4 linked regions of the Caenorhabditis elegans genome follow. The protein of the gene in region 1 purifies or fractionates together with the protein of each later gene. This does not show direct contact. Each region holds a gene or a part of one and is shown in the gene's direction. Other genes may lie near its edges.

Region 1 (5,112 bases):
ATGAAACCAACATACCTTTTGCCTTTTCAAGTGTCTGCCAAACAATTTTCCTTCTACTTTTGTTAATTTCGTAGTCATCATCGTTTCCAGTATCACGGTCACGTGGATAGTGAATTAAAAGAAGATCTACATAACTGAAAATAGAAATAATTCTGATGATAACTCAACAAATATTTTCCTACTCGGTTTGCAAAGTTGCAAGGGAATTGGCTAGTTGTTTCTCAGTTTCCTCCACAGTATTTTCATTGAGAGTACGAACTTTAGTAGTGATGAACACATCTTCACGTGTCAAGCCAAATTGTGGTAGATATTTCTAAAATTTTAGAGGTTTGAATAGTTTTTCAGAAATCAGTTTAAATTTACCTTCAGGGAATTACCAAGAAACGTTTCGTTTTTGTAGAGATTGGCTGTGTCAAATTGACGATATCCAGATTTCAGAGCGGCTTCAATAGAGACATCTAAATCTTGTTGAGTTTCAATTCGAGAGATTCCAAGACCAATTTTTGGCATTTCGTATCCATCGGAAAACTTGAATGCACCACCAACAACATTTGTGAAAACACTCATAGTCTGAAAATACATTTAAATGAGATAAAAGAATATAAAAATGGCAAGAAATGAAGAATAGAGGACATTAAATATAAATAAGAGATAGGTAGAGGAGGAGGGGGACAGTTCAACAAACAATGGAAGTTTCATTGAACAATTTTTGAAAGTTAAGATGTGATGTTTGTTGTAATTTACACTATTCAATGGTAATTCATAGACTTTGAACGAAGCGTTCGATCATTGAAACACTCTCTTTGCGAAGTTTGTATTTAGAGTTCAATAAGTTTACTAAACAGAGAAAAATTGAATTAACAGAAGAATGACGTTATATTGTGATCATTTCCAATCACGATAGGAACACTACCATATACACATGACCTATCCTAGTTGTTATGTTGTCTCTTCCCATTTTTCTTAAAATTAACTGAGAAATTAAAATTTTGGATGTGAGGAAGAGCCTTTATTATAAAAAGCCATGTTTCATGTGGAAATAATTCGGTACAATCCATATCGCAACTTATTTATTACAGATGTTGAAAATGTTTTTTTACATAAATATTCAGAAATTTCTACCAAAAACTAATCACACAAGTAAAAAAAATCATAAATATGGTAAACATGTAAATAAAAATAAATGTTATAAATAAAACTAATAAAATAATAAAAAAAACAAAGGTTCATGATTTAGATTTTTTAAATCTGTTTTTACACTACGATACTCTTGCTGCAAATCTGCTCCATCGACAACCAATTCCCTGCGTCTCCACTATAGACAGAACTGTCATGTTTTTATTTCAATAGAATTTCCTTATTTCTTTTCTGTATATTTTAATCTTATAATTGTTTTCGTATTCTATGAAGAACATAAAAATTCTCGCGAAATTGTAGAAACATTTTTCCATCGACTTCCGCGTATTTTGACGGCGATCTCCACTAAATATAGTCAGATTTACTTTCCAGAAACCCTCGTTCATTAAATTAAAATCTAAGTAATGTAAAATATTGCTTAAATGTTCGTACTTTGTTCTATTTTAAGCCAACTAAGACAGTGTCAAAACGAAATTTTTACCGGTTTCATCGATTGGCAAGCAAATTTGCTATTTATTTACTTTTCTTCTCTTTATGACTCATTCGAAACCCGCACAATCGATTTAACAATTTTCAGGCGAAATGGATTCGCAAGGGCGAAAGGTGATTGTCGTTGACAACGGAACAGGTGTAAGTTGCAAAATTTTATCCCATTTTATTTTCAAAAATTCTGTATTTGCAGTTCGTCAAATGCGGGTATGCAGGAACCAATTTCCCAGCTCATATATTCCCTTCAATGGTCGGTCGGCCAATCGTGAGATCGACACAAAGAGTTGGAAATATTGAAATTAAGGTAAAACTTTACACAGAAAGGTCTTATAACTGTTTTCTCACAGGATTTGATGGTTGGCGAGGAGTGCTCTCAGCTTCGTCAAATGCTTGATATCAATTATCCCATGGACAACGGAATTGTTAGAAACTGGGATGATATGGCGCATGTATGGGATCATACTTTTGGACCGGAAAAGTTGGATATCGACCCGAAAGAGTGTAAACTGCTGCTGACAGAACCACCACTCAATCCGAACAGCAATCGTGAGAAAATGTTTCAAGTTATGTTTGAGCAGTATGGATTCAATTCTATCTATGTGGCGGTTCAGGTAATAGTTAATCCTCATGATAAAATCATAATGATTATATTTTCAGGCTGTGCTCACTCTTTATGCTCAAGGTCTTTTGACAGGAGTTGTAGTTGACTCCGGAGATGGTGTTACCCACATCTGTCCTGTTTACGAAGGATTTGCTCTTCATCATTTGACAAGACGATTGGATATTGCAGGAAGAGATATTACCAAGTATCTTATCAAGGTAAGTTTTTAAATGTTACATATTAATTCAATTATTTTCCTGATTGCTATAGTGACAAAATATGGTTTATTAGAAACTAACATATATTTGTTTTCAGCTTCTTCTGCAACGTGGATACAACTTCAATCACTCTGCTGACTTTGAAACTGTTCGCCAAATGAAGGAAAAGCTTTGTTACATTGCATATGATGTTGAGCAAGAAGAACGTTTGGCACTAGAGACTACAGTTCTTTCTCAACAATACACTCTTCCTGATGGTCGTGTGATTCGTCTCGGAGGTGAACGATTCGAAGCTCCAGAAATTCTATTCCAACCACATCTGATTAATGTTGAAAAAGCTGGTCTCTCGGAACTTCTTTTCGGATGTATTCAAGCCAGTGATATAGGTATTTCAAAAATGAAATTGTGCATTTCCATTATAAATCCCTTTTATAGATACTCGCCTTGATTTCTACAAGCATATCGTACTTTCCGGTGGAACCACTATGTATCCAGGATTGCCCAGCCGTCTTGAGAAGGAACTGAAACAGCTGTATTTGGATCGCGTATTGCATGGAAATACTGACGCGTTCCAGGTAACGAATTTCCGAAAATTCGGCCACAAGGATATTGCCGGAATAATGTTGAGACTAGGCAATTGTCAAAATGCCGATCGCTGAGTTTTTCAAAATTCAGCAGTTGTCAAAGTTTCGAATTATCAAAAATAAATTCCAATTACCGAATAGAAAATTGAAAATATTCAGGTCGTTTTGAGTTATATTTCTTCATCAAAAACACATTTACTACAGTAGAAATTGATTTTTTTTGTTAATTTTTATAGTTATTTTTTCTAATAGTTTTGAACCCGGTAATTGCCGAAATTTTTTGTCGCCGAATTTCTAAATTTTCGAAAATTTTTATAACTCGAAAATTTCTGAAAATTTTTTATTTTCGCCCACTATGGCTGTCTTTTTTTTAATCAAAAAAAATCGATTAAAGATTAGTTTCAAAACAGTTGGTAGTAGAATTGAAATTTTTTCCACAAATAATTATCAATCAAAAAGTAAAAAGTTTTTTTGAAAAAAAAAAAACAATTTTTATGTAATGCCAATTTTTGAATGGGAAGTATTACGAAAGCACAAATTTCTGAAAATGCGTATCGCGAAATATATTTTACGCGCAAAATATCTCGTAGCGAACACTACAGTAATCCTTTGTATGACTACTATAGTTCTTGTGTAGATTCAAGAGCTCGATTAGCTGAGTTGAATCATTTATTTATTGATAGAACATTATTAAAGTTAAGAAAACAGATCAAAAAGAAATTCATTTTAAAAATCAAGCTCATTAAACTAGACAATGTTAAAGGATTACTGTAGTTTTCGCTATGAAATATTTTGCGCGTCAAATATGTTGCACTCTACGCATTCCCAGATATTTGTGTTCCTGTAGTAGTTTTACTTTTGGTTATTTGACCATTCCTTTTAAGAATGGCGCTTTTGGTCGTCAATGACGATTTGATGATGTGTTAACTAAATGCATTTGATTTCTTCGTGTGAGGTCTCCTAAAAGAACACTCACTCAACATCTTAGTTTTCCGCCCCATCACCCCAGTGTTTACTTACATCCTTCTTTAGTGGGCGTGGCTACGACCTTGAAAAAATTACCAGCAATGTTCCAATTTATTTATTTTCAGAAATTCAAAATCCGTATAGAAGCCCCACCAAGCCGTAAGCACATGGTTTTCCTTGGAGGAGCTGTTCTTGCAAATCTGATGAAGGATCGTGATCAAGATTTTTGGGTTTCAAAGAAAGAATATGAAGAGGGTGGTATTGCAAGATGTATGGCCAAACTTGGAATCAAAGCTTAAATATTGTGACTTTATTTTCGTGTTAACATGTTTAAAAGTGCTTTATGTTCATTTATCCCCGTTTCTCTGAATTCTCTTAAAATCCCCTACCTGTTAACTAATTTATTCTTTATAGGCATCCTATTCTCCCCCACTCTCATTCAAACGTTTATCTTTCAAACCAACAACCACCTGAATCCATCATTCTCTGTTGTAAATACATTTTCCACTTTGAATTCATTCACTTCTTCAACTTACTTTTGGTTTGAAATTGAATTGCGTCACCTCTTATTCCTTCTTCCATTTTTCCATTAAATGAAACCGAAATCATCCAGCAAAAGGGCATTAGAAAAAGAGACAAACGACGACATTGATGACCCGCATTTGATACACGGATACTCTACCACCTGATAACGGATAATTGTTATCTTCAGGCCCGTGTCCTCCTCTATTTCAACTACTTTCATCCGAAATACTCCTTTATTTGCGACATTCGGATTTTTTCTTTCCAACTCATTTATTAACTGATTCATATAATCACATTTAAATCTTTTCAATTCATTTATTTTAATTGGTTTCTCTTTCTTTCCAAAAGGTCCACATAAATCAGTGGTCGATGAAATCGTCAGAAGCGACCGGCACTTCTAAAATGGTGTCGTTTTAGTGTCCTTTCATCGCCTGACCAACCTATCAAACGGGGAGGTCTCGTCTGTGTTGAAGCCAAATTGGAACTTTTTATAGCTGCTTTACTCTCAGAATAGTTTAAACTTTTTTGTTTATTGAACCGTCGGTGAACCTATGTTTTTTGGATTTCGATTCTCGATCAGTTGTGAAAAAAT
Region 2 (3,703 bases), on another chromosome or scaffold:
ACATATTTGACGCGCAAAATATTTTTTACTGTATCTAGATATTTTGCGCGTCAAATATGTTGCGTGGTACGCATTTTCAGAATTTAGTCGTTCCGTAATAAAAGTGGAATTGCAAAAAAGTTCCAAAAAATAAAAAAATGAAATTTTTTATCATATTTCAGCTTAAAATCCGCCAGGGCCATTATCATTGGAGCGCGCCATGTCGCGTCGATTTACGAGAGATTTTGTTTGCAAATTTCAGTTTTTCAACAAGTTTTCTATATTTTTCGCGTTTTTTTAAGTGAAAATGTGAAATAATTTTATGATTTTTAAAATTTGAAAAAAAAAATTTTTCAACAAAAAAATCAAAGAAACTTGCAAATTTTAGTTTCTTTGATTTTTTTTTTTTGAAATATAATTTATTTCGTGTAAAGTGAACGAAACTTACTGATTTTTCAATTTTTAAAATAATAAAATACCCAAATTTACACGAAAAAACACATTTTAATTTAAAAAAACCGAAGAAAATGAAGAAAACTGGTTTAAAAAACCGAATTTGGCTGCAAAAAAACCCCTCGTAAATCGACATGGCATGGCGCGCTCCAATGAGAATTTTTCTGGCGCGAGTTTGAAAATTGTTTCGCGCTTTCAAGCTGAAATATAAGATTTTTGAAATTTTTTGAATTTTTTTAAAACAAAATATGGGAAATTTGGAGTAATTTGAAAATTTAAAAAATCAAAAAAATGATTTTTTTATTAAAAAAAAAAGTTTTTTTCAGGATTTCCAATGGCGTGCCGGCTGGGGTGTTCTCAAGGCCAATATGCTTTTCGTGTACAATAAAACCGAAGAGGAGACGTCGGCTCCTCCATTTTTACTACTAATTATTGAAGACTGTTTTATCGAATTATGTGATGAGAATAAGATTGGCAAGGATTTCACTTTTGAAATCAAATTCAAATCGTGCGTTTTTTCCGGGTCTCAACACGAAAAATTAATACTAAATTCCAAAAAAAAACTGAATTTTTATCGGTTTTATCGAAAATCGATGAAAAATCGATTGAAAATTCCTAAAATTATCCGATTTTTTTCCAGAACTGCTCGAAGCTTCATCTTCGCCGCCGACTCGTTCAAATCGCTGGGACGTTGGGTTTCGCTGCTCACAATCTCCCCGATCGACTATATACAGCTCTCGAAACAAAGTTTTCATGAGCAAATCGAGCAAACTCAGAAGAAAGCGATGAGGGATTGATTTTTATACATTTTGCACATTTTCACTGTGATATTTTGACTTATTGATTATAAATCATACATTTTTAACGTTTTTTGCTTTGTTTTGCAGCTGGAATTTCCCTGAATTTATCGTTTTTTTCGCAAAAAATCGCGAAATTTCATTAAAAATTTCCAAACGATGCTCCGATATTCCGATGTCGCGCCTTGTTTACCGTAAACTTACACGAGATTATTATTTATTTTTCCGTTCCTGGAGAGAATTTCATCAGAAAAAACGTTTAAAAAGCAGAAAATCTTTGATTTTTTCCAATTTTTCTTAAATATCTGATTATAGGAAACTTGTAAGCTGATATTAATCATATTAATTCCAAGTTTTCATATATTTTAACACGAATTTCCGAATAAAAGTGTATTTTCGGGTTTTACTTTAATTTTCGCGTCCGCAACGACATTATCGCTTCAAAAACTGCATTTTTATCGAATAAAATACTTATATTTTAATTTAAAACTCGAATTTCACAATTTATCGATTTTTTTTCGCAGCCGCAGTGACTCATTATGTACTTACCCCCCCCCCCCCTCGGGTATCCGAAAATAAGCCGTTTTCTATGCATTTTTCCAAACAAAACACTTATTTTTCAGTGAAATGCCGGCATACCACTCAAAATTCGACACTGAACTCAAAGTTTTGCCATTGGGCAACACAAATATGGGAAAACTTCCGATTCGAACCAATTTCAAGGGTCCAGCGCCTCGTAAGTCTTCAAAAATTGATTGAAAAAACCTATATTATATATTAAAATTATTGCAGAAACCAATCAGGATGACATCATCGACGAAGCGCTCACCTACTTCAAGCCGAACATCTTTTTCCGCGAATTTGAGGTTGATTTTCGAGATTTTTCCCTATTAAAATTGAGAAATTTTCAGATCAAAGGTCCCGCGGACCGTACAATGATCTATCTCATCTTCTACATCACCGAGTGCCTCAGAAAATTGCAAAAAGTACGGATTTTGCACGAAAAAAACCTACTTTTTAGATTGAAAAATAAGAAAAAAAGACCCAAACATACCGAATTTCAATGGATATTTTGAACATTCCTACCGAAAACAGATTTTTTTAAGTAGAAAATTTCAAATTCGAAACATTTTCGATTTTCTCTGAAAAAATCCCAAATTCTTTCAATTTTCTCTGAAAAATCCACAAATTTTAAGGTTTTCTCTGAAAAAATCGAATTTTTTTGGTTTTTCCCTGAAAAAAATCTAAAAATTGTTTAATATTCCCTGAAAATTCCAAAATTTTTCTGGTTTTCCCTGAAAAAATCCGAAAATTTTTCGATTTTCACTGAAAAAATCCGAAATTTTTCCGATTTTCTTCGGAGAAATCCAACTTTTTTTTTTCTCAAAATTTTGGAAATTATAAAAAAAAATTCTAGTTACAAAATTCGGTCTTTTCGGGCTATTTTGAGTGAAATAAAGCGTAAAAACATGTTTTTTTTTTGCAAATTTTTTCAAATTTTCAGAGCCCAAACAAGATAGCCGGCCAAAAGGATCTTCACGCCTTGGCTCTCAGTCATTTGCTTCCAATTCCCGGTGAAAATGGATTCCCACTGAACAGCATGTACAAGGCGCCCCAATCGAAACCGGACGAGGACGAAATGCGTGCCTATTTGCAACAAATTCGCCAAGAAATCGGCGCCCGTCTGTGTGATCTCGCGTTCCCGGATCCCCAAGATCGTCCGAGCAAGTGGTGGCTCTGTTTCGCGAGAAGACGATTCATGGACAAGGGGCTCGTTGGACAGGGTGTTAATTTGTGAATTATCGATTAATTATTGTTGTATCTGGCTCAAAATTTTTTCACTTTTCCCATTTTTTTTTCCATGTAATTATATTTATATTGCGTCCAGTTTTACTTTTTGTGCTGCTTTAAAATATTCATTAAAATTCCGATTTCATCATTTTATTACGGTAACGCAACATATTTTGCGCGCGTCAAATATGTTGTGCGCGAAATACGCGAAATCTCTATGCTCTACCGATAATTTGTCTGCTTGGATCCCATCACTGACAACAAAAACGCCACGGTATCGTGTACGACTTCTGGAGCAGTTATCTGGCAACGTGCCAAGTGACTTCGAACCTCTTCGGGAAGTTGGGAGACTGGAAGAGCCTGGAAATTGAGAAAAATTGAAAATTTTAAGATTTTCTCCGAGAAAATTGGAAAATAGTCGAATTTTTTTCAGAAAACCCCAAATATAGGCCTTTTTTATTAGAAAATCGAAAAATTTTCAGGTTTTTTCAAATAAAATCGGGAAAAAAACTATTAATTTCCCGTAATTTTCCAAGATTTCCGTCTTAAAGGCGCACAGATTTGTTCAGATGGGTCTCGGCGCGCAAAAAAGTTTATGGTACTTTTTTTTCTTTTTTCCTGTTAAAAATTGTTTTAAATCAGTTTTTTTGCCGTTTTCCAGTCAGAGAATGAATAAAAATTGA
Region 3 (6,353 bases), 6.1 Mb from region 1:
ATTCCGGAAGTTTGCCGATTTGCCGGAAATTTTCAATTCCGGCAATTTGCCGATTTGCCAGAAATTTTCAATTCCGGCAATTTGCTGATTTGCCGGAAATTTTCAATTCCGGAAGTTTGCCGATTTGCCGGAAATTTTCAATTCCGGAAATTTGCCGATTTGTCGATTTGCCGGAAATTTTCAATAACGGCAATTTGTCAATTTACCGGATATTTCAATTCCGGCAAATTGCTGATTTTCCTGAAATTTTCAATTCCGGCAAATTGCCGATTTGCCGAAAATTTTCAATTCCTGATTTAAGATTTTAGCTAAAATTCGTCAAATTAAAGTAAAAAAAACCAAAAAAAAAAAACGTTTTTTTTTCAGATTTTCCCAGTACTTCACATTGAGCGCTGGGCTTTTGACGTTGAGCTCATCTTCCTTTGCGAAAGATGGACGGTCCCTGTGAAAGAAGTTTCAGTTCGATGGACTGAAATCGAAGGGTCTAAGATTACTCCAATTTGGTCTTGGCTTCAAATGGGCCGAGATCTTGTGCTCATTTGGTTCAGATATACGGTAAAATTGCAGTTTTTTAGGCCTTTTTTGAAGTGGTGTCAGGATGTCCCATCGCTCTACTGCACACGAAAATGGCGGGAAAATATTTTTTTTTTAATTTGTGACGTCACAGCGTATCTTGAATAATTTTCTTAATTTTAAGCGCCGATTTTTGTCAAACTTAAAAAAAAAATAAATAAATAATATCTTTCTCATTTTAATTTATAAAATTTGATATTTTACCAAAATTCTTAAAATTTAGTGGAAAAATTGAAGCAAAATACACAATAAAAATGAATAATTTCAATTGAAACGAATTTTTTTTTTCGAAAAACCATTTAAACCGTTCATTTACCAAGTTTCCGTGAATTTTTTAAAAATGATTTTCCAAATAAATTTTTGTTTAAATTGAAATTATTCATTTTTATTGTATTTTGCTTCAATTTCTCCACTAAATTTTAGAATTTTTGTAAAATATCAAATTTTATAAATTAAAATGAGCCAGTTTTTAAAAAAATTTCACGAAAATCGGCGCTTAAATTGAACAAAAGCAATTATTCAAAATGCGCTGTGTGACGTCACAAATTTTCAAAAAATATTTTCCCGCCATTTTCGTGTGCGGTAGAGCGACCTGACAATATTTTTGACATTAAAATTTTATTTTCAGATCGGAATTTGGACGGATGACCAGCCTCGCTAAATGCTCCACAAAAAATCGATACGAGATTTTCAAAAAATCTTGCCCAAAAATTTCCTTTTTCTTCTAGTAATATCTATGCTTTAATCACTTTTTTTCCCTGCTTTTTCCTGATTTTTTTTCCAATTTATGGCTGGTTGTAAATATCCATGATTCCTTGAAAATGTGATTCTATTCTTTTTTCTTTTCGCATTTTTATTATTTATTTATTTACTTGTTGGTTTTTCTTTTTTTTCTCTCTTGTTCTGGGGACTCTGGGTTTATTTTTAATGCTAAATTCAAAAAAATATCGATTTAAATGTTTTTTTCCATTTTTTTGTTTTTTTTTTCGTTTTCCCAGCGATTTTATATCTTTCCATAGAGTTTTCAGGCGAAAAAAATCAAAAAATTTCCAGGCAAAAATGGTCAAAAAAGCGGCGGCAACTAGCAAGCAGGCTACCTATCACAGTGATGAGATCGAGATGAAAGAGGAAGTTGTGCTCAATGTAGGATTTTTTGAATATTTCAAGGATGCAATCGCGCTCCATTGGGAAACGAGAGCGCTCCGCCCCCAAACGTTGGGTCTCGTTAGGAAATCAGGCGGCAAAAGCATTTTCCGTATTTTTTTAAAATTTCGTCCAGAAAAATTTTAAAAAATTCCAATTTTTTATTGAAAATCGTTATTTTTCCGAAAAAAATTGTTATACAAATTTACGAAAAAAGGCGGCGATTTATCAACTGCCGGAAATTAGTGAAAGATTACTTTTTTTCAAAAAAAATTGAAAAAATTTAAAATTGTGAGATAAACCAAGAAAAAATTAACTTTCGATTTTTTCAACTTTTTGGAAAAAAAAAACACAAACCAAAGAAAAAATGAACAAAAAAAAAGCGGATTGCGTGTATTTTTCACCACGCGTAACGTCGTTGTCGCGATGTCCTCCGGACCGAAGAGCAAGAAGCTAAAAACGCCCACGCTTGAACAGCAAATCGAAGATGGAGTCAATGCTTATATTCACTCGCAGCAGTTTGAGTTCAACTCTCCACCACGGGAAAATTTTTTTGCCAATTTTTTCGTCTCAAAAAAAAAAGGAAAAAAAAACCAAAAAACCGACATTTCTGGTCAATATTTTTTTTTGTTTTTTTTTTTTGAAGAAATTCGATTTTTTGCTTTTCGGCCGAAATTTTTATTTTTTTAAATTTTCCAAAAATTCTTCTTCAATTCCAGACCTACGACGAATGCACCGATTATGTCGAATACGACGATACAAAACAATTCGATATCAACGAGTATTGCGATCAAATCCAAGTGGCAATGGTCAATGAATCCGACGATGGAATGACATTGGAATTTGATATTACTCGCATTGAAGCTCCAATTGCAAATGCTCTTCGCCGTGTGCTCATCGCCGAAGTGCCAACGATGGCTCTCGAGAAGATTTATCTCTATCAGAATACTTCTGTAATTCAAGATGAAGTACTCTGCCATCGTTTGGGTCTTCTGCCGCTTCGTGTGGATCCACGTGGATTTCAGTTTCCAAAGGAAAAAGTCGTTGGAATCAATGAGAAGGGAGTGGATTGTGACGAGGAGCCCGAGGGAGATCCCGCGAAAAATTTGATCTTCAAGATTAATGTTTCGTGTACGAAGAATCGAAATGCGGTGCCGACGGCTACCGATCCGAAGCAGCTTTATCACAATAGCTCGGTCTACTCACGTGCTTTTGAATGGGTACCGATTGCTGATCAGAAGACGCAATTCACCGAAGAAGCCCATCCACGTATGGTTTCTGATGATATTCTCGTTGCCAAGCTTCGTCCTGGACAGGAAATTGAAGCCAGTTGCCATGCGGTCAAGGGAATCGGACGGGATCATGCAAAGTTCTCACCGGTTGCTACTGCGTCCTATAGGTGTGAATTTTGAAGCTGCTGAAATATTTTCTTTTGATTTTTGCGGTTTTCCGGAAAATTGAAAATTTTTCGTTTTTCGATTTTCTCGGAAAAAGTGAAAAATTGGGGGGAAAAAAATTATAATTCATATAATATATTTTCGGTTTTACGGGACCCCAAATTCTGAGAATGCGTATTACACAAAATTTTTGACGCGCAAAATATCTCGTAGCGAAAACTACAGTAATTCTTTAAATGACTACTGTAGCTTTTAAAGAGTTACTGTAGTTTTCGCTACGAGATATTTTGGGGAAGTTAAATAATTTTTGTACATCTACCTATATTCAGTATATTTAGACTGTTTTCTGTAATTTTGTGGAAAAAAAAGTTCGAAAATTTCAAGCCAGAGGTGAATTTTTTTGTCGACAAATTTGACAAATTGCCAATTTTTTTTTATTTTCGGCAATTTTCATTTTCGGCGATTTGCCGGAAATTTTCATTTTCGGCGATTTGCTGGAAATTTTCATTTTCAGCAATTTGCCGATTTGTCGATTTGCCGGAAATTTTCATTTTCGGCGATTTGCTGGAAATTTTCATTTTCAGCAATTTGCCGATTTGTCGATTTGCCGGAAATTTTCATTTTCGGCGATTTGCTGGAAATTTTCATTTTCAGCAATTTGCCGATTTGTCGATTTGCCGGAAATTTTCTTTTTCGGCAATTTGCCAGTTTGACGATTTGCCGGAAACTTCGATTTCGGTTAATTGCCGGTTTACCGATTTGCCGGAATTTTCATTTTCTGCAATTTGCCGGTTTACCGATTTGCCGGAATTTTCATTTTTGACAAATTGACGATTTGCCGGTTTGCCGGAAATTTTCATAGAATTTGCCTACTTTTCAAAATACATGTAGGAACATTTATAGGATGCGTACAATTTAGCCGATTGAAATTGAAAATCTGAAATTTCCAAAAAAAATGTGCAAAAACACAATTTGCCGGTTTGCCGGTTTGCCAATTTGACCTTCAAATTCTTCCAATTTTTCAAAAAATTTCTTTTCATTCCAGACTGCTTCCAACGATCCGCTTGAACGCCGAAATTTCGGGTGAAGCTGCCGAACGTCTCAAATCAGTATTCAGCGAGGGAGTTATTGCTATCGAGAAGAAAGGAGGTAGATCATAAATCAATTTTTAGGAAACACACCAATTTTTTTAAAATTTCAGCCAAACGAATTGCTGTTGTCAAGGATGCTCGCAAGGATACGTGCAGTCGTAACGTGTTCCGCCACGAAGATCTGTCGAAAGTTGTTCAATTGGGAAAGAACAAACAGCATTTCATTTGTTAGTGGCAGGGCTGAATTCGAAAAAAAAAACTGAAATTCATGAATTTTTCGCATTTTTTTGGTTTTTTTTCCAAAAAAAAATACACGAAAAGTTGTCGAAAAACAAACCCCAATTTTGTTAAAGTTTGAAACCTTATTTTGAAAATTTTAAATATTTTTGCCAAATTTTAACTCTTTTTTTTAATTTTGAGAGTGGTTTTTTTGGAAAATGTATAAGTAATTTTTTTTGGAGCCGGAGTTTTTATATATTTTTTTTCGCTTTTTTTTTCGAAAAAAAAAGAATTTTCGCCAGAAACATGGTACAGACGTGCCGTTTTTCGATTTTTTTTTTGAAAAAATTTTTAAAACGAAAAGTTGAAAAATTGGAAATTGGGAAAAGAAAATTTTTGAGTTTTCGAACTTAAAAAAAACGAAAAAATTTTTAAAAAAAATGTTCAGAAAATTAAAATTGAGCAGAAACTGGGGAAAATTCGAAAAATTCTGAAAAATTCACAAAAAAAACCCATTTTTTCGAACTTTTTTCCGATAAAATTACAAAAATCCTAAATTTTCTACTTTTCAAGGGCCCGAATTTTTGTGGAAAATTAGTAAAAATCGGTTAAAATTAACCATTAAATATGATTTTTTCTAATGGGGTTATTCAAGTAATGTAGCAATTTTTTTTTTTTTTCGCAAAAATTTTTTTACACTTTTTAATTTTCCGACACTACTTGAATAACCCCATAAATCAATTTTATCGAAACTGATGAGAAAAAAAAATTTAACGAAAAAAAAACACAAAATTTCGTCGTCAGAAATTTTTCGATTTTTCCCAAGTTTTCTAATTTTTTTGGTTGAGAAAGTCGATTTTTTTTAAATATAAAAAAAAAACCGAAAAAAACGTAGGAAAAAAGAGGGAAAAACTATAAACTTATTTAAAAATAAATTATATTTCAATGAGAAAAATGAAAATTTCTTCAAAAATACAAAAAAAAACCAAAAAACCATTTAAAAAAATTGCCAAAATTTCAAATTTCTTTTTTTTTAAACTGAAAAAAAAACACACAAAAAATTTTTCACAATTTTTACCGGCAAATTCGGCAAATTGGCAATTTGCCGGTTTGCCGATTTGCCGGAAATTTTGAATTCCGGCAATTTTAGTTTTTTTTTCAGTCAGTGTAGAGTCGACTGGAGCTCTGAAATCGTCTGAATTGGTGGTTGAAGCCTGTAAAGTCATGGAAATCAAGTGTCGTTCTCTTCGCAAACAAATCGAGGCTCTTATTCAATAATCCCCGTTTTTTTGAAATTTTGTTACTATTTTTTTATTCGTTATCCTTTTTTTTTGTTGTTGTTTGACTACCCCTCAAGTTGTTACACTGTTCCGTCACTTTCTTTTTTCTTAATTTGAATGAATTTTCGTGGCTTTTTTACCTTCAAATATCTCCTAGTTGGCCAAATGGTTGAAATTTCCATTTTTTATTTGTTTTTTTTGTAGTTTTTTAACAGGTTCATAGAAAAATCATTCATTTTTTCGGTTTTTTCAGAAAAAAATTATTAAAAAATGGAAAAACTCCAAAATTTTGAGCTATTTTCTCAAAATATTGGAAAACGAATTCTTTTCGATTTTCAGAAAAATTAGAAACAAAACTTTAAAAATCATCAATTTTTGTCTATCCTGATGAAAAAATATAATTTTCTTCAAAAAATTAAAAAAAAAAACCAAAATTTGAATAAAAAATTGTAAAACTAACATTTTCGGTTTTCCGGAAAATCGAAAAAGCGAAAAATCTTTTCTTTGCAGAAAAAAAGAAAAATCAATTTTGTTCTAAAAAATATCCTTTTTCGAAATACTGGAAAAACGGGGCAGTTTTCGAATTTTTTTCAGAAAATTGAAAAAAAAACGATTGTTTTTAGAAAACTAGCAAAAATTCAATATTTTGT
Region 4 (7,364 bases), on another chromosome or scaffold:
TTTTGTTTGGTTATAGGAATATCCTCCTAGGATAGACGTTTTTTTCTAGTAATTTTTGTTGTTTTTGTTCGTTACAATAAATCTCATTTTTATTTTCTGGATTAATTTGATTACCAATCGTTTCCAGCGATTTTCACATATTTTTCCAGAATTTAATACAGATTAATATTTTCGAAAAATTTAAACATTTTCTTTTCACATTTTAATTCATCTCTATTCATTATGCAATACTCTTTTGGTTTTCAAGCATCCGACATTCCTCCGTTTCATTTATGTTTGCATTTCTGCTGGCATGAATGCATTTCATTGTGTCTCGATGAGAAAAAGGACAATTTCATGAGCTTATCAGTTACTTCGTTTTCAAAATTTTAATGTTGACCAGCCATTGATGTCATATTTTGTCTAAGAAGCTCAAGAACTATTATTTTTTGAAGCTTAATTTCGAAGAGCAACATTTTTTTTCATTAAAATTCAGCAGTCATTGTTCTTTAAAAAGTTTTGATTCTCGTTTTTAAACGATTTTTAATTCAGTCGAGAATTGAATAACTTCCCGATTTCCCGGCCACCATCGTTTAATACCTTTTCTTTATGAGACTAACTTCCAAGTATGCAAATTGCAAATCGACGCAAGGGGAATACACTCGCTCACTTCTCATCGAAATTCGAAACCTTTTCCCATTTTCTTTCATGTCTTTTTCGCTTTTCTCCTCTCTGCCCATTTCCATTTATTTCTCAAACACCGTTCAGTGAACACGAAAACCCTTACGGAAATTGTGTTGTAAGAATACAAAAACTTCCGTAGCATAGCGAGAAAGAGTCACCATTTTGTAGTGTTTGCCCCCGGTGGTATAGTTTGCACAAGTTTCTGAAAGAAGAAGAAGACACATTTGAGGTCTTATGCACATAAAAATCAATGTTAGACTATCTTTTTCACGTAGTTTTCTTTTGCAAAGTGGAAACTTCTCATTAAACACTTTTTGCTTTTCAATTGTCTGAACAAGTTTTCGATTAAACAGCTGTAAAGCTTTTGCAAGTTTCATGGTTTATGAACTATTTCGAATCGGTTACATTGCTGAAGTTTTAGTGTTTCTTGAATATGTCGTCACTACCAGGACTGGACCAAAAATCAAAAAGAATTTAAAGTGAAATACCAAAAAAAAAATCGTCGATTTGCGATTTTTGAAGGACTGTAAGTGACTTTTTTGGCTTCATTTAGGTCCCAAAAAACCTTTTTTTTCTCAAAAAATGTGACTCAAAATACCAAAAAAGTCTTAACCTGATCACTTCGCCTTCTCAACTCAAGCCATTTTTGCTGTTTAGTTCGAATATGGAACAAATCATAAGAATCTTGAGTACCTATATGCGATACCCGATTCATTTTCCTCTCTTCTAAATAACATCATTTCCTCTCTTTTTCCCTCTCTCTCTCTCTCTGTTTTTGTTTGTGACTCACTTTGTCCACAACGCGCGCGGAACCGGCTTGTTGCCACACACACACTGTGATGAAATATGCGGGAGGAAAGCTTTTCGCCTAATAGTTGACTTACTTTTCATCTATATTCCTCAATTTTGCAACTAATAGATTGATTTGTCATGGTTTTGATTTCAGGGTTTTGAATATTCTTTGAAATTGGAATTTTTAACAAAAATGCAAATTATGTGCCAAGTCATATCTCCTCCTCACACTTTTTCTATCACATGCCCCCAAAAAAATTAATTTTTTTCAGGAATGGATCATCGTGCTCAAGCGCGCGAGGTATTCGTTCGAGCTCAACTGGAGGCTGTTCAGAAAGCGATCACGAAAAATGAGGTTCCATTGAAACCAAAACATGCGAGAACCATAATAGTAGGAACACACAAGGAGAAATCATCTGGAATCTTCTGGCATACTGTAGGACGGATTCAGTTGGAGAAACATCCTGTACTCACTTGGAAGTTCTGTCATTTGGTGCACAAATTGCTTCGAGATGGACATCGAAAGGTTCCTGAAGAGACTTACAGGTGGGGTTTCTTTGAAGGAGTGATAATCTTAAATTCAATATTTTTCAGATATGTTAATCGATTCACTCAACTTTCTCAATTCTGGAAACATTTGAATACAAGTGGATATGGTCCATGCATTGAGTCATACTGTAAATTACTTCACGATCGAGTCACTTTTCACAACAAATATCCAGTTGTTCCGGGGAAGTTGGATTTGAATGATTCACAACTGAAAACATTAGAAGGAGATTTAGACAATATGTTTGAGATGACAATTGATATGTTGGATCAGATGGATGCACTTCTTGTATTGCAGGATAGAGGTTTGTAATGATTTTTTCAAGTCTGGAAAATTATTGAATTATTAATTTTCTATTTTTCAGTGTATGAAATGATGAATTCCCTACGCTGGAATTCTCTAATTCCACAAGGACAATGTATGCTTTCTCCACTGATTATTGCAATTCTGGATACCAGTAAATTCTACGATTATCTCGTTAAAATGATCTTCAAACTTCATAGTCAAGTTCCTCCAGATGCATTAGAAGGTCATCGTTCCAGATTCCGAACAATTTTCGAGAGAACTAAGAAGTTTTACGAAGAATCATCGAATCTTCAGTATTTCAAATATCTTGTTTCAATTCCAACATTGCCATCTCATGCACCGAACTTCCTTCAACAATCCGATCTTGAATCTTATCGAACACCTCATGCATATCTTCATTCGGAAGGTTCAGAAGATGGAACTTCTCTCAACGGACATGACGGGGAATTATTGAATTTAGCTGAAGCAGAGCCACAACAAGCGAGTCCATCGAGTCAGCCAGATCCTAGAGAAGAACAAATTGTTATGTTGAGTCGTGCTGTTGAAGATGAAAAATTTGCGAAGGAACGACTCATTCAAGAAGTAAGAGTTGATTATTAAAATATAGTTTTTTTTTAAAACTATCATAAAAATAAACAAAATACAACATTTTTTACTATTTTCCAGGCGCGCAGCCGCATCGAACAATATGAGAACCGTTTATTGCAAATGCAAGGAGAATTTGATCACGCAAAACGAGAAGCTGATGAGAATCGAGAGGAGGCACAGAGACTGAAGAGTTCGTTTTTTTTTTTGGAGAATGATATTTTTCTCAAAATTAGTTGGAAGTCAGATTATTATTAATTAGATATATTTTCAGACGAGCTTGCACTTCGTGATGCATCAAGAACTCAGACAGACGATGCACGTGTAAAAGAAGCAGAATTGAAAGCAACGGCAGCTGAGGAAAGATTTAATAAAATGAAAGGAGTTTACGAAAAGTTCCGAAGTGAACACGTTTTAGCGCTCACAAAATTAGGAGATATTCAAAAACAACTAGAAGCTAGTGAAAAATCGAAATTCGATAAGGACGAAGAGATTACTGCTTTGAATCGAAAAGTAGAAGAAGCTCAACGAGAAGCTGGAAGAGCTTTGACAAAGGCGGAGGGTGATGCTGGAGCAGTTGATGAGATGAGAACTCAATTGGTTAAGGCTGATATTGAAGTTGAGGAGCTGAAAAGGGTAAGATTTGAATTTTTTAAAGTTTTATATACATTCAAAATTCGGAAACTCCTAGACTTTTTTTATAATTAAATTTATCATAATAAATTCACAAATTTTTAAAATTGAAATTCTCACTTTGAGAGAAAGGGTGTCATCGAAAAAATAAACATTCCCGAAAATCAAAAAATCGAAGAAAACATTTTTTTTTTCATTCGAATTTCGTTTATTTTGATGAGAAAAACATAAGAAAATATATATTTTTTTCTTAAAAAAAAACAAAAATGGTTTAAAAAATTGAATGCTGTTTTTTTGTTGAAAAATTAGAAAATCTGAAAAAAAAAACAAAAATTTCCGATTTTCTGGAAAATCGATATATCGAAAAAATTACATTTAAAACTAATTTTGTTTAACACGAGGAAACTAAGTAAGTTTCTATGAAGACGAAAAATGGCTAAAATTTTAAACTATTTTTCGAAAAATCGGAAAACGAAAGTCGAAAAACCGAAACTTGGAAGTATAAAGCATATTTTATGAAGAGAAAATGCAATTCGCTCCTCGCGATTTAAATGTCAAAAATGAATCATGTAAAAACATTATCACTGTATAGATATTAAAAAAAACAATTTATTTCTTACAGACAATCGATCATCTTCGAGAATCACACGCCAATCAATTAGTTCAATCATCTGCTGAAGAAACTAATAAGATCCGGCTCGCTGAGTTAGAAGTAGCCAGTAAGAAATTTTGGATAAATGTATTTTTTTTAAATACTTTAATTTTCAGAGGAATCTGGTGTTGGAATTACACAAATGTTTGATCATTGTGAAGATGCTCTACAGAATGCTACGTCTATCACTTATCCTCCACGTAAGTCATCATCAGGGCTGAGTCAGAAAAAAGTGTTATTTTCAAAATCGTGACCGAAAAAAGTTTTCTACCGGAAAACCGAAACATTTAAAAAAGTTTAGAAAATTAACAAAAAATAAATTCTATCAAATTTTGTTTATTTTGAATCGAAAAAACCTTATAAAATTTCATTTTCTAAAGTGAGTAAAAATGGCCAAAATTTAAACATGATTTTCGAAGAATCAACATTTATTTTTAAAACGAAACATGTTGAAACGTTATTTTTAAAAACTTGAAGAATATGATCAAAAATGCACTCGTATTAAAATTTCGAGTATTTTTTCATTAAAAAAAGTAAAATTAAAACATTGATTGTATTTTCCAAAAATACTTTTCTCCCCAAAAACACTAAAACCAACAATTTGGAAAAATTGAAAATTGTTTCAAGAAAACCACTTCAATTACTGAAATTTTCAGATCTCGCCCAGTCAGCAATGAATAATCTCGTCAATATTCTCTCGAATGAACGTCTTGATGAACCACTCGCTACAAAGGATAATGTTTTCGCTGGACATCTTTTATCTACAACTCTCTCTGCTGCAGCTTCAGCTGCTTACACTGCAAGTATCGAGAGTTATGAAGGTGTAAATGATCAGTGCAAGAAGGTTCTGGCTGCTGCAAAAGTTGCATTTTCTGATGACAGTGCTCTTTCAAGAGCTGATAAAATGAAATTACTTAGACAAGATATACAAACATTGAATTCATTGATGATATCACTTCCTCTTCAAACAGATATTGATAAAGATGTTGTTGGAAATGAATTGGAACAAGAAATGAGACGAATGGATGATGCTATTCGAAGAGCTGTTCAAGAAATTGAAGCAATTCAAAGAAGAGCTCGTGAGAGTTCAGATGGAATTCGTCTTGAAGTGAATGAATCGATTCTTGCAAATTGTCAAGCTTTGATGTCAGTAATCATGCAATTAGTAATTGCATCAAGAGAACTTCAAACTGAAATTGTCGCAGCTGGAAAAGCAGGAGGATCGCCTGCAGAATTCTACAAAAGAAATCATCAATGGACAGAAGGACTCTTGTCAGCTGCAAAAGCTGTTGGTGTGGCTGCTAGAGTGTTGGTCGAGTCAGCTGATGGTGTTGTGACTGGAAAAGGAAAATTCGAGCATTTGATTGTTGCTGCTCAAGAGATTGCAGCTTCAACTGCACAATTATTTGTTTCCAGCAGAGTAAAAGCTGACAAGGATTCGTCAAAGTGAGTTTTTTGGAAATATTATCCGATGCCAAAATTTGAGGTTTTCTCGAAAATTTAAAATCTCGAAGTGACCGTTTTTCTTGTAATTCAAAAGATAGTATGCATTTAAGGAGTACTGTAGTTGTCAACTTCTTGTTGTGGCTCAGATTTCATTGGTTTTTCCAAAACACAAACAACGACATATCAATAAGAAAAATCGTCAAAAATTAAAGCTATGTTTCGAAATATTGGAAGAACAATAATTTTTTGAAAATCAGAAAACTTTTAAAACAAGTATTTTTTTCATTTTTCTGAACGAAAATTTTCAAGGAAAAAGAACTGATTTTATTTCAGTAGTTTCTAAAACTTAACCGAATTTGTTTCTAAATTCGACAATATTTTCAGATTGGACGCTCTCTCGGTTGCTGCAAAAGCCGTTAATCAAAATACTGCCCAGGTGGTTGCTGCTGTCAAAAACGGTCAAACAACTCTCAACGATGAAGGTTCACTTGATTTCTCATATCTTTCGTTGCACGCTGCGAAGAAAGAAGAAATGGAATCACAAGTGAAAATGCTGGAATTGGAGCAAAGTTTGAATCAAGAAAGAGCAAAGTTGGCGGCTCTCCGCAAGCAGCATTATCACATGGCTCAGTTGGTTGCGAACAAGGTTAGTTTTTAAAAAATAGGAACATGTATTTCCTTAAAACCTGAAAACATTAACAGAGCTAATAGAAAACTGACTATCGAATTAGGAATCAAGGAATTTAAAGGTTTGAGCACTCCCCCCAAAAGCTCTCTTTTAACATCACTCCCTATGTTTGTATCCCGTGCACATTTACCAAGAATACAAAAACAAGCTACACCTTATTTGAAAATTATTACAACTCGTTTAAATCAATTTAAATTTCAGGAAGGAGAAGAAGCTCAGGAATAACCAACAATCTATCCGAGTATTTCCAAAATTGTACAATCTTACTCAAATTGCTTTTTTTTTATACCATATTTATATACATCAATGCCTTACCCTCTTTTTTCACTAAAATCTCAAATTGCTCCACTGCTTAATTTGTTTATACCAATTTTATCGTCCCACTTTGAGAAACTAGTCACTCCCAGTGTCCTGTGATTTCGGTGCCCATCCAACAGTCTATAGAGAAATGTTTTATAATTTGTAAATGTTTGTAAATCTCTTATTCTAAAAGCATCCCCCTTAAATTGTAAGAAACAACTTCTGAATATGAAATTGATTTCCAAAAATATTTATTTATCCGGAACACAATTCACAACTTTCTATACATTTGAGAAGAAGAGCATTCGAACCCCGTAATGAAATTCAGGCGATGGGACGGTGGGAGAGAGAAGTAAGGGAGGAAATATGTATATTTGACACAAAAGGGATCGATTTACAAAAATAAGCTACTTCTATGGGACCTATAAAAACGAGATCTTCAAAAAACGTATGGAACATCCTTTTGTGCTCCACTGCTTAACTTCTACAAAAAAGAGATTCCTGATTCAGGAAGAAGGAGGTCGTGGAGTTGTGCCACGTGGATTTTCACTAACATTTCCACCAGACGATGAGCTGCTCGGTGGACCGATGACAAGATCTTCATCTTCTGTGAACGACTCGTTTCCATTTTCAGACTGCGATGATTCCTCCTCGTAATAATCGGTATCTAAAATGGCTCGTTATTATCATCTAAACCTTCAAAACTTTTATATCACTCACCATTAAACAAATCATCATCTAATAGGAAATGA

Evidence for each region.
Region 2: the proteins of arx-2 (region 1) and arx-5 fractionate together in Caenorhabditis elegans (co-fractionation; one large-scale study listed by BioGRID). This does not show direct contact.
Region 3: the proteins of arx-2 (region 1) and rpac-40 fractionate together in Caenorhabditis elegans (co-fractionation; one large-scale study listed by BioGRID). This does not show direct contact.
Region 4: the proteins of arx-2 (region 1) and hipr-1 fractionate together in Caenorhabditis elegans (co-fractionation; one large-scale study listed by BioGRID). This does not show direct contact.

What each region holds. Positions count from the first base shown.
Region 1 is NC_003283.11:10,334,958-10,340,069, reverse strand, and holds arx-2 (Actin-related protein 2), read left to right. Parts: upstream 1-1,714; 5' UTR 1,715-1,719; coding exon 1,720-1,767; intron 1,768-1,819; coding exon 1,820-1,930; intron 1,931-1,973; coding exon 1,974-2,237; intron 2,238-2,283; coding exon 2,284-2,445; intron 2,446-2,542; coding exon 2,543-2,831; intron 2,832-2,880; coding exon 2,881-3,020; intron 3,021-4,120; coding exon 4,121-4,294; 3' UTR 4,295-4,607; downstream 4,608-5,112. Other genes in the region: K07C5.2 (NADP-dependent oxidoreductase domain-containing protein), read right to left, coding at 16-134, 183-313, 364-567.
Region 2 is NC_003281.10:12,816,250-12,819,952, reverse strand, and holds arx-5 (putative actin-related protein 2/3 complex subunit 3), read left to right. Parts: upstream 1-1,852; 5' UTR 1,853-1,856; coding exon 1,857-1,965; intron 1,966-2,021; coding exon 2,022-2,095; intron 2,096-2,140; coding exon 2,141-2,215; intron 2,216-2,733; coding exon 2,734-3,027; 3' UTR 3,028-3,164; downstream 3,165-3,703. Other genes in the region: Y37D8A.25 (PH domain-containing protein), read left to right, coding at 759-940, 1,073-1,229; BE10.4 (DUF148 domain-containing protein), read right to left, coding at 3,243-3,380. UniProt on the Caenorhabditis elegans protein: Functions as a component of the Arp2/3 complex which is involved in regulation of actin polymerization and together with an activating nucleation-promoting factor (NPF) mediates the formation of branched actin networks.
Region 3 is NC_003283.11:4,197,859-4,204,211, forward strand, and holds rpac-40 (DNA-directed RNA polymerases I and III subunit RPAC1), read left to right. Parts: upstream 1-1,626; 5' UTR 1,627-1,632; coding exon 1,633-1,716; intron 1,717-2,435; coding exon 2,436-3,115; intron 3,116-4,158; coding exon 4,159-4,262; intron 4,263-4,314; coding exon 4,315-4,431; intron 4,432-5,585; coding exon 5,586-5,701; 3' UTR 5,702-5,838; downstream 5,839-6,353. Other genes in the region: algn-5 (dolichyl-phosphate beta-glucosyltransferase), read left to right, coding at 367-555, 1,202-1,234.
Region 4 is NC_003281.10:8,718,475-8,725,838, forward strand, and holds hipr-1 (Huntington interacting protein related 1), read left to right. Parts: upstream 1-1,727; 5' UTR 1,728-1,729; coding exon 1,730-2,001; intron 2,002-2,049; coding exon 2,050-2,306; intron 2,307-2,366; coding exon 2,367-2,890; intron 2,891-2,974; coding exon 2,975-3,086; intron 3,087-3,167; coding exon 3,168-3,529; intron 3,530-4,148; coding exon 4,149-4,245; intron 4,246-4,294; coding exon 4,295-4,378; intron 4,379-4,834; coding exon 4,835-5,624; intron 5,625-6,008; coding exon 6,009-6,270; intron 6,271-6,326; coding exon of another isoform or gene 6,327-6,332; exon of another isoform or gene 6,333-6,513; coding exon 6,514-6,537; 3' UTR 6,538-6,858; downstream 6,859-7,364. Other genes in the region: nte-1 (Patatin-like phospholipase domain-containing protein ZK370.4), read right to left, coding at 7,119-7,279, 7,333-7,364. UniProt on the Caenorhabditis elegans protein: Regulates pre-synaptic vesicle recycling at neuromuscular junctions of mechanosensory neurons. Plays a role in maintaining a normal defecation cycle.